3 linked regions of the Danio rerio genome follow. The main gene of each other region encodes a partner of the protein of the gene in region 3 in a complex. Links are inferred from orthologs where the notes say so. Each region holds a gene or a part of one and is shown on either strand. Other genes may lie near its edges. The genes, in order: fam91a1, stx16 and tbc1d23.

Region 1 (3,658 bases), on a different chromosome or scaffold from region 3:
AAAATTGCCGTACTGTCACATATAAAGATAAAACTCTGTCGGCTCTTGAGGAAGATTGAATGGTACTGGAGAAAGTAGGTCAGGATTTCGGCTCGCACTGCATTCCCTCAGTGTGATTGAAATTATGATGAGAATAAGAATATCTATATGTTATGTTTTTTGGTAAAGCTTAAAAAGAATGGTTAATTTAATTACTAAAATAAACAATGAACGGTCACACTTTACAATAAGGTTTCATTAGTTAACGTATTTACTAACATTGACTAATTATGAACACCATTTAAACAGCATTTATTAATCACAGCTTAACACTTAATAATGCATTATTCACACCCTATTTAGGCTGGCTTGTGATAGCCAACCTATTGAAATCCTATTTAAACTTATTATTATTCTTCTGAGAAAAAAATTCTGTCTGTATCTCCTCCAAGGAACTCAGTCTAGCCAGCAGCCAATCACTGATGGCCTTTTAACTTTTTAGCCACACCCTAGCAACTGCCCCATAGACTGTCATTATAAAGGCCCAGATTGATATCTTCGTGCTGCAGTGTTATAGAGACATGGGGGGATATATATTATCAGTTTAAGCTGTCAATCAACTCCATAGCAACAAAACAGACTAACCTAACAACCACATAACAGCAGCTATATCTTAGCATCAGAACATCGTAGAGAAGTGGGAATTGGCTCGTTTGACTCATGCTAGCACACCGTAATTCTTGCATGTCATGCTAATAATGATTAACAATGCTTTAACATACTAGAAATGCTAACTAAACATTAAGGATAAGATATAGAACACCATTTTATCTATCTATCTATCTATCTATCTATCTATCTATCTATCTATCTATCTGTCTATCTGTCTATCTGTCTATCTATCTATCTGTCTGTCTGTCTGTCTGTCTGTCTGTCTGTCTGTCTGTCTGTCTGTCTGTCTGTCTGTTCATACTTTTTCAAACTGTTTTAAACTAAATAGACTACTTTTTTCGTTATACTTGACTGCATTTTTTCCTTGTTATAATTGTATAGATTTAATAAACCTACAAAACAGACAAAGCAAAGAAAAAACATTGACATTTTTTGTTTATGTTATGTGCAAGTTTTCATTGTGTAGAATGAGCAGAATCAAATTATATAACCATGTGAGGAATAATATAAATATTAATGATATATTATAATGATGATGAATTTTTATTTTAATGCCGTGTCAGCAACAAAGGCTATTTTCCTGGCAAGAACATTTTATCAATAAGCACACTATTAAAAAACAACAAACCAAAGAATACATAAATTAAATAAGACTTTTAGCACTAATAGATTTATCGGTGTCACTTTGCTAAAAATGTCCTTAAGATAATGAATAAAAAGCTATCTGCAGTATATTGATATATACACTCACAGGCCACTTTATTAGGTACACCTTACTAGTACCGGGTTGGAAGCCCTATTGCCTTCAGAACTGCCTTAATCCTTCTTGGCAAAGATTCAACAAGCAACAGGAAATATTAATTCAAGATTTTGGTCCATATTGACATGATACCATCATGCAGTTGCTGCAGATTTGTCGGCTGCACATCCATGATGCCAATCTCCTGTTCCACCACATCACAAAGGTGCTCTATTAGATTGTGATCTGGTGACTGCGGAGGCCATTTGAGTACAGTGAACTCATTGTCATGTTCAAGAAACCAGTCTGAGATGATTCATGCTTTATGGCATTATGGCATGTTATACTGCTGGAAGTAGACTAGAAGATGGGTACACTGTGGTTATGAAGGGATGGACATGGTCAGCAACAATACTCGGGTAGGCTGTGGCATTGACACAATCCTCAATTATTACTAACAGGCCCAAAGTTTGTTAAGAAAATATCTCTCGCACTATTACATTACCATCACCAGGCTGATTTGATACAAGGCAGTATGGATCCATGCTTTCATGTTGTTGACTCATGTAGAAATTGACTCATAAGACCAGGCAACGTTTTTTCCAGTCTTCTATTGTCCAATTTGGGTGAGCCTGTGCGATTTGTAGCCTCAGTTTCCAGTTCCAGTCTTCTGCTGCTGTTGTGGCTCATCCAACTGAAGGTTCGACATATTGTGTGTTCAGGGATGCTTTTCTGCATACCATAGTTGTAACAAGGGGTTATTTGAGTTACTGTTGCCTTTCCATCAGCTCAAACCAGTCTGGACATTTTCCTCTGACCTCTAACACCAACAAGGTATTTGCACCTGCAGAACTGGCGCTCACTGGATATTTTTTTTCTTTTACAGACTATTCTCTGTAAACCCTACAGATGGTTGAGCATGACTGTACTGTACTGTACACTAAATCCCAGTAGATCAGCATTTTCTGAAATACTCCGACCAGCTCGTCTGGCACCAACAACCATGCCATGTTCAAAATCACTTAAATCACCTTTCTTTCCAATTCTGATGCTCAGTTTGAACTGCAGAAGATCGTCTTGACCATGTCTACATGCCTAAATGCATTGAGTTGCTCCCATGTGATTGACTGATTAGAAATTTGCGTTAACGAACAATTGGACAGGTGTACCTAATAAAGTGGCCAGTGACTGTAAATATCATACACAAACTTGGTTTAAGGCCCAGCATCACCCGTACTACAATCATGTATTATATTCATAAAACCCCATTCTTACATACTTATTCCCACTGAATTTCTGAACAAGTTATCCATCAAAAAGAAGAAGCTTCAATTCCAATCCAATATTCAAGCTTCTACAATGTCTTTATCAAATTGTCCACCACATATAGACATTGGCTGCAATGGATCAATTCAAATGTACTCCGTTATCATCATTTACTAAATAAATTGGTTTTCGCTAATAGGATGATTGCAGTAAACGTTTCGTCCTATTTGTCTTAGCAAAATGTCAGAGAGATAATGAAAACGAATACTGCCTTTCCCCAGTAAAAATAAATTAATTGGTAAAGATTGTGTCCTTTGAGTCCCTTCAGTGTTGGCTCTTCTAATAAAGAGTTATGGGTTTTCTTGACGGATCTCATGAATAAGCTTGTTTTCTACTCTGCCAGATACTGAAATGGGGCTAAACAGCTACAAAGGGAACGTATGAACACAATGGTTCTCCGCAGTCTGCATCGTACATTCAAAAAAGGACTCATTTCACAAGCCATCAAAAGGCCAACGGATTTGGAAAATTGTCTTTGCAGCGACGGTAATACCAGCACCGATGCATCCTGGGATTCACCGCCCTCCTAGCCAGCTATAAAGGCATCATTTCATATCAAACATTCCATGTAAATGGCCCTCCATTTTCATCTCTGCACGACACGTACCTTCACCAGGCCCAAGTCAATCTCCAGTACATTAGCCAGCTGAAATGACAAATACAAAAGTGCTATGAGAGGCTTCGAGACAAGCAGAATCCTTGAAAAAGAAAAGAGACTGCAAGTGCACTTCAAAGGGAAAATGTAATATGTACCTCTGACACATTAGTCTGCTCATCAATGGAAACGAAGATTTTGTAGAGCAGCGTTTCGAAATAATCACCCTGGACTCGGTTCATGACAAACCCCTCAAGCGGCGGCACTGAAAAATCACACCCAAGAAGAGCTTGTGTAAAGTGTGCAAGTTACAGATAATGATGTTTATATGTAAAAACACATTCAAA
Region 2 (3,658 bases), about 21 Mb from region 3:
AGGTTGCCACAGTGGAATAACCCACCAACAAAAGTTGTGGTCACACTGGGCTTTTCCTCCCATAGACTTCCATTCAAAGCAAGCGAATGCGTCAGACCGGAAACACGGGGTCATGCGTCAAGTTTTGCAGGTTGCTGTGGTGCAAAGTTCAAGCTTGGTGAACTCTGACCTGCGAAATCGCTCGCTTTTTAAAAGTCTAATCATCTTGTTTAATCCCGCCCCTTTTCGCAGCGCCGTACAACAGAATTGCTCAAACTCTGGTGTGACGGCAACTTTATCCAGCATATGTTTTACACAGCTGATGCCCTTCCAGCTGCAACCAATCACTGGGAAACACCCATTCATTCTTATTCACTATGGACAATTTAGCTTACCCAATTCAAATACAGCGTATGTATTTGGGCTGGGGGGAAACCGGAGTATTAAAATGTAATTAAGGTCTTTATTCCCCCTTACCCGGCAAAATTATCGGCTGAAAGGCATTTTCAGGACATTTTTATGTAGTATACTTATTTATACTGTGCTGCAACACTGGTAAACTGACGCCTGACGCCTCTGGACTCATTTACTTTTACAGTCAATAAAATGTGGTTGTTTATTGTCTCTGTCTCTTTTAATCTGTATAAATATGAGTTAAATTTAAAGAGTCTTGCAAAATTACTTCATATTATTTAATAAAATAATAAATAATTATTATAAACATTGCGTCCATATGAAATACCTCAAATATCCTTTGAGGAGGAAGCGAAAACACACTTCTGGATTAAAATGCAAATGAATTGTGTAAATCAACCTTACTCTGTCATATAGTGCGATATCTTCATCCTCCTCCACAAGTGGACCGGAGTCAAAAAAGTGCTTGGATCTTTCTTCACGGTTCTTCATACCTGTAAACGGAGGCAAACACGTCAATGATTTGTCATGAATTAATAGTATAATGCCAAACTAAAGTCTAAATAAAACCAAAACCGCATAAATAATGCTGTGTATTTATTTAGATATCGAATTATGTTGTGTTTGTGTGCATTAGACCTACGCTTCAGGTATCCGGACTGGGTGTGTCTGAAGTTGAGCGACAGCTCTTGAAGGCTCTGAGCCAATGAGGAGACCACATTAGTCAACAGCCTGTTCTCTTGCTCTGTACAGTGATAACTCTGAGTCTGCAGTCCCGTCACGGCCCGCTGGCACCTGTGAAACATCTATACACACACACACACACAATCTACAAATGCTGAAAATGCTTTAGTTTAATGTGTGCAATGATTAACTGCAGCAATTTTTCCTTCATGTCCCCTTTAACCTCTTTGGTTATAACAGATGCCGCTGTACTATTATTAATGTGTGTGCGTGTCTGTATATACGTGTTTATGACATATCAGGAAACAAATCTGTATAATGACAGGTATTACAAGAAGGTGGTGCATTATGAGGACTTTGCTAATGTCCTCATTTCTCAAAAATCTTATAAATCACATAGAATGAGTTTTTTTAGAAAGTAAAAGTGTACACAATTTTCCTGTGATGCTGTGTTCACACCAGACGCAAAACGCGCGGATAAATCGCGCTATTCGCACATAAATAGCCGCATGATCATTTGAGTTTACTCGCTTCATACGCGCGTCAAACCACGATTCATTCGCCTGTCAAATTCAGATCAGAACAGACGCGGATTCGCGTGATGGGCAGGGCTTCTGTCTGCCCGAAGACTCTAGCTTCATAGCTAAATGGCTAACATAGATTTTATGAAGAAAATAACAGTGTTTATGCGCTTTATGAAGACTGAAAAACAGCGTCGATACGTTTAGGGTCGTGTCTGAGTCCACTACATTCTTTCAGAGGTGCATCCAGCTCTGTGAGCTCATAAACTCCTCCAGAAACTTAATCTGGATGACGAAGGCTTTCAGCGGTGTTTCTGACTGAGCCAAGCCGAGTTTGATGAACTGTTGTCGGTGAAGGCTGAAGGATTTCCCAAGGAACCACGACAACAGGTTCTACGTCACAATCACGCCCCTACAAGAGCAAGCTTCTGATTGGTTAACACGGCGCGAATGTACGCTGGAGTTAAGATTTTCGAAATCGAGAGATTCACGCGAAACGCTCGTTAAGTGCATCAAACGCGCAAAATGCTCAATTCGCCCTGCGTCATTCGCGCAATTTGCGTGATTCGCGCCGCACCATTCGCGCGTATCACGCCGCAGGATGTCTATTCGCGCGTTTGCATTAAATTAACATGTAAATCACTCACGCTTGACGCGCTTGCCGCGTCTGGTGTGAACGCAGCATAAGAGTTGGGTTTAGAGGTATGGTGGGGTTAGAGCAATAGAAAACACAGTTTGCACATAAAAACAATGGAAACCTATGAAATGTTCCCACAATTGACAAATACAAACCTGTGTGTATTTATGTGACATACTATTATGAGGGATGTAAACAAAAACAATGGTCCCACTGTATTACCTGTTTTACATTTTTAATTCCTATAGCTTTAGAGAATCCAAAAATTGATAAATAAACAATAATAAATAATGTTAAAATGGCTGTTTTGAGTTCATTAAGTTATGATTGAATTGCTTCTTGTTACAGTTATGATATAGTCTGATAACAAGCAGGAAATATTCATGAGCCAATGACATGACCAGATCGAAATGGTCTATAATACCTGTGTGATTTCCTGTGTAGTGATCTCGATGGCATGCTCCTCTTCACTGCTGTCATCCAGCGTGGGCCGGTTCATGTGTTTATCGTGCAGACTGGCCAGCTCCTTCATCTTTTGACGAATACGTGTGATTTCATACTGAATCTGAGGGAACAAGGAATTCACTGTTCACTCTCTACAGAAAAACTAAGGTAACAGGAACACTCCAGTTGAACTAATACATGAATGTTAATGGATATGAATATTAGTGACAGAATGTGGAGGTTTGCATCTGGTTTCAAAATGCATTTTTCATTAATCACATCACAAGTGGTCAGTTCAGATGCATTACGTTTGTTATCTTTTATAGCATGCCACAGACGCTGTCGGCAGAGCTTAAAGAGAGTTCACCCAAAAAGGAAAATGTACTCATTATTTACTCTCCCTCAAGTGGTTTCAAACCTTTCTTTCTTGTTAAACACAAAAGAAGATATTTTGAAGAAAGCTGAAAACCTGTAACCATTGATTTCCATAGTAGGAAAAACAAATATTATGGAAGTCAGTGAATACAGGTTTCCAACATTCTTCAAAATATCTCCCTTTGTTCAATAGAAGAAAGAAACTTATAAAGGTTTGAAACAAGTAAAGGGTTTACAGAATGCAAACATGGATTGACAGGGTTTACAGAATTCTTAAAACCTTTATTAATTTACCTCATCCACTCCCTCCACCCATTTAGGCGGGAGTCTCTTTGTGACACCGATAGCAGCCTCTGGATCCAAACTAATACCCGACACCAGGGCCATACGGTCATCTGCCAACTAAAAGACAGACAGAGGGACAAGCAACAGCAGATTATGCAATGGGTACTGAAACTTGCAGATTATGCTAATAATATGTAAATATTCTCATGAAAAAGTCAATATTAAACTGGCTTGTAGCCAGGAGGGGTTCGGGTGATTCGAAAGACCCACCCCCCTACTGACAAAGTTTAGAACTTGGCTGCTATACAAGCTCATTTGT
Region 3 (3,658 bases):
TCATTTGACACAACCCCTTTACTCCCATTCATTCTCCCGGGATGTATCATGGGATAGCAAAGAGTCCATCGGAGGCGCACTCAGAATCTAGTAGTCATTTGGGTACTTATCACACACTGTTTTTCCAATTCTATGAATTCGGACTTGCTATTCAGCTCACATACTGATTTTATTGTACTATAAAGTATTTAAGTATGCAATTTCGGATGCAGCCATTGTGTTCAAAGCGAAAAGAAAAAGTTCTTGTTTTTGTTTTTTACCCAGACATTGAAAAAGAATATATTTTGGAGCAGTAATCACAAAACCATGAAGCTGTGGTATTTTTATCACAGGTTATCGTCCCGTTAGAATCTTATAGCAACCCATGCCCCTTTCAAACACTAAATCAAAAACCAGCTTATCTCTGGTTAATAGCAGCTCTGCAGTTTGAGCACCCCTGATGAAGGACATGGTATCTACCTGTATCATACTCTTCCTCATCTCCAATGCTGAAGACAGGCTTGACACCCCTGTATGGTTTCCCCACTCGATCACTGCTACTTACATGCCTGAATAAAAATAAATAAATAAGATTTCCAACCAGAATTGTCTTGTTTTTCATGATATAGGCAATTGAAGGAGCATGGCAATGAGATGACGAGTCCTCTAGGATTAGAACGGCGAGTACTGTTAGTTGAAAGAAAGGGAGGTTAGGATGTTTGCATTTTAACTGAAATGAGAAGCAACATGTGGAAGACCAGGTACTTTGCAGTCGATTTTACTGCAAACGGTTTAAGTCACAATTGCCCCAGCCTTCTACAGCTGTGCTCAAAACAGTACAACAAAGACAGGACTGCAGTCTCCCTAAGGGAATCAAAGAGGACTCAGACAGCAGACTTCAACCAGACTTCAGCCTGCGAGACAGAAACTTCTGGCGTAAAACTAGGAAAGGTACATAGTGACAGATGCAGTGTAAGAAAGCAGCCAACATTGTCACGGACAAAAAGACCTGTGGTTCAAAACCCATTCTCACTCTCAAGATCAAGACCCCATTGGTAGGGCTGCATAATGTCATTTTTTTCTAATATTACAATATTTTGTTTTCCTGCAATATATATTGTAATATCAAAATGGTTTCTCTAGATGACTTGAATAGCTCTATTTGGACAATTCATCATTTTAGGTTGACCAGGTTTCATTTTTAAGGGAGTGAATCTAGATAAAATATAAGTAACAAAGACAGATAAATATATAATAATTATAATAATATGATACAACAGAAAATACAAATGAAATAAACTGTGCTTTATGTAGTGTTTCCCCAACCATTGTATGGTGGAATTAGGGGTGCGCATGATATCAAAATAATTCATGTTCCTCATCAAACTACACTGAATTAGAGACTATCCTAATACGTCTACACAGAAAAAAATGGAACACAATGCACTAGGGCTGTACAACATATCAGTTCAGCATTGATTTCACAATGCGCACATCCACAATAGTCACATCACTGGATCTGCAATGTATTTTCAATTGCAAAGTTTAACCAATATGATGTAGTGCTTCTTTCTTGGTGGTATGCTGACATTACACTAGATACATCACGAAGACTTGCTGTCTTGGTCACAGATGTGTCAGCGAGATGCACACAAACAATTTGTCCTCTTTTGAACTCTGATAAATCACCCATAACATTGTTTGCGTTGCAATATTTTAAGCAAATCTGTTTACTCTGCATCGATACCGCAATGTGCACATCCACAACTGTCAAATCACAGGATATGCAATTTCTTTTCATAGCAAAGTTTAACCATAAAGTAACCAAAATGTTTATCAATTGCATGTGTTTTAAGGTCTGTGACTGTGTGAGCATTTCAAGACAGATTAAAGTATTTAGGCACAAGAAATGATCATATTAGTAATGAAGACTATACAGTGTATTTACCATTTGATGATTCAATTTGTTTAAATAAATGCTGCTATATATTAGTACCTTTGCACAACTGTATTAATTGATGCTTGTGGTTTATTATATTTTATACAGAAATCATGCAAGTCAATCTAAACTTATCCAAATAGAGCCGTTCATTTTATCTGTTAACTATTGCAATGTACTTTTTTTTTCAACATATGCCACTCTACCTTGCACAATGAATAACGACACCAAATGGGTCCTGTGACAGGTTCAAAATTAAAAAGGTGAAAATTTGGGAATGAGAAGGCTTTGGTGATTCACAGCTTCCACCAATCCGAGTGGTTCTACTACACATGCGTGTGAATGTTTGGTAGTGAATGACAGCCACAAATTCTAGAATGTTACTCAACTCTGATGATAGTCTCAAATTTTTAGCAGAAAACAGCAAATTCAAAAGGTCAAACAGACATCCAGAAATGCAGGTGATGCAGATGCATATGGTGTTAGAGTGTGTCATTTACTCTGGGTTTTAAAACCCCTACAATGAGCTAAAGCTTTAAGTGCCACCTTGAAAGAGCATGTTGCAGAAACTTGATGCGCGCTGGTGGGGCACAGACAAACATTAACGAAGTCTTACCGCTCCAGAATTCCCTTGTCTGGCCATGGTAGATTGAAAGACATTCTAGTGTGAAATAACAGGGCATAGGTTGTGAAGATGATTAAAACAGGAAGGCTTCAAAAGATCAATCACTTTAAATACATTTTTATCCAACAGCATTTAACCTTCATGGTTAGAGAAAGAAAGTGAGAGAGAGAGACAGCTGATCAGTTAACACCCTGAATTTAAAAAAAATTCAACTTAATTAAGGAATTTTGGTAGTGTCTGGGTGCAAAGAACACTGCATTTCCTCACCTTTCTACTGGTGTGGAAGTGTTTTCAATGAAGCTGATCACCTTCTCTTTCACATTGACTGACTTTGACTTGAGTGCAAATGTCATTTTGTTGACAAGTGATTTAACTCCTTTGCCATCTGTGCTGTTCAGTTCTCCCTGTAAAATATGGATGAATTAAGGAAGATAAATAATTAAAGAATAAAAAGGTATTTGGCGGTTATCACAAAAAGTTTGCAAATTTTTCTGATTTGATTTACATAAGATTCAAAAGGTGGCACAAAATACCACAACGAAAATGAAGACATATGTATCAAGCTATATATATATATATATATATATATATATATATATATATATATATATATATATATATATATATATATATATATATATATATATAGATATGTTCAAAACATAAGCAAGTTATATCCTGTACATGTATGAGATTTCAGAATCTTTCAGTTTAAATATGAATTCATAGGTTTATTTATATAACGGGGGGAAAAAATACAACAAAATATGATAAATTGTCAAATGAGATTTTTTGTTTCCAACATCATGACTTTAACAGTTAAAATAACTGAAATGCTTGAAGGCTTCCACATTCAAAATGTAAGATCAAAAACAAGATGGACATAACTTCAGATAAGTATCCCTAAAATAAACCAAAAACCATGATTGGAATCATGGCAATCATGACAACCCAAGTATTGAGTACACTGATTTAATGCAAAAACTCTTGATGTATAGTGCGTTACACACAAGCTAAACTCACATCTGCTGAGCTGAGGCTGCTGTGGGATCCTGAGGTACTCACAATCCAGTGAACATAAACGTTATCTGGCCCTTCAACATTAATATCTGCCA

Evidence for each region.
Region 1: the proteins of tbc1d23 (region 3) and fam91a1 are in contact, whole or in part, in a crystal structure (PDB 8JJ9), measured with the Homo sapiens proteins. The link is inferred for Danio rerio from reciprocal best matches to the Homo sapiens genes TBC1D23 and FAM91A1. Residues at the interface, in NP_001186127.1 of Homo sapiens: Arg533, His534, Val535, Ser536, Ser537, Asp539, Val541, Gly542, Lys543, Pro544, Tyr545, Arg546, Val548, Pro550, Val551, Phe552; in NP_659400.3 of Homo sapiens: Arg49, Glu60, Arg61, Tyr64, Asp84, Ile85, Lys88, Gly89, Leu90, Arg91, Ile92, Thr93, Phe95, Ser96, Ile159, Pro161, Tyr176, Ile177, Thr178, Glu179, Asp181, Ile182, Lys190, Asp194, Ile197, Asp198, Tyr216, Asn217, Lys218, Gly219.
Region 2: the proteins of tbc1d23 (region 3) and stx16 are in contact, whole or in part, in a crystal structure (PDB 8QQF), measured with the Homo sapiens proteins. The link is inferred for Danio rerio from reciprocal best matches to the Homo sapiens genes TBC1D23 and STX16. Residues at the interface, in NP_001186127.1 of Homo sapiens: Leu638, Asn639, Ser640, Val641, Val642, Lys643, Ile644, Thr645, Ser646, Lys647, Lys648, Ser661, Ser662, Ala663, Ile666, Thr683, Lys687, Ile690, Met691; in NP_001001433.1 of Homo sapiens: Asp209, Asp210, Asn211, Thr212, Leu213, Tyr214, His215, Arg216, Phe218, Thr219, Glu220.

What each region holds. Positions count from the first base shown.
Region 1 is NC_133194.1:35,574,933-35,578,590, reverse strand, and holds part of fam91a1 (protein FAM91A1), read right to left. Parts: exon of another isoform or gene 3,652-3,658; intron 3,601-3,651; exon of another isoform or gene 3,577-3,600; coding exon 3,470-3,576; intron 3,363-3,469; coding exon 3,324-3,362; intron 1-3,323. UniProt on the Homo sapiens protein: As component of the WDR11 complex acts together with TBC1D23 to facilitate the golgin-mediated capture of vesicles generated using AP-1.
Region 2 is NC_133181.1:52,364,095-52,367,752, reverse strand, and holds part of stx16 (syntaxin-16), read right to left. Parts: intron 3,457-3,658; coding exon 3,349-3,456; intron 2,801-3,348; coding exon 2,660-2,800; intron 1,200-2,659; coding exon 1,037-1,199; intron 888-1,036; coding exon 799-887; intron 1-798. UniProt on the Homo sapiens protein: SNARE involved in vesicular transport from the late endosomes to the trans-Golgi network.
Region 3 is NC_133181.1:31,423,020-31,426,677, forward strand, and holds part of tbc1d23 (TBC1 domain family member 23), read right to left. Parts: coding exon 3,567-3,658; intron 2,948-3,566; coding exon 2,811-2,947; intron 2,580-2,810; coding exon 2,535-2,579; intron 549-2,534; coding exon 460-548; intron 1-459. UniProt on the Homo sapiens protein: Putative Rab GTPase-activating protein which plays a role in vesicular trafficking. Involved in endosome-to-Golgi trafficking.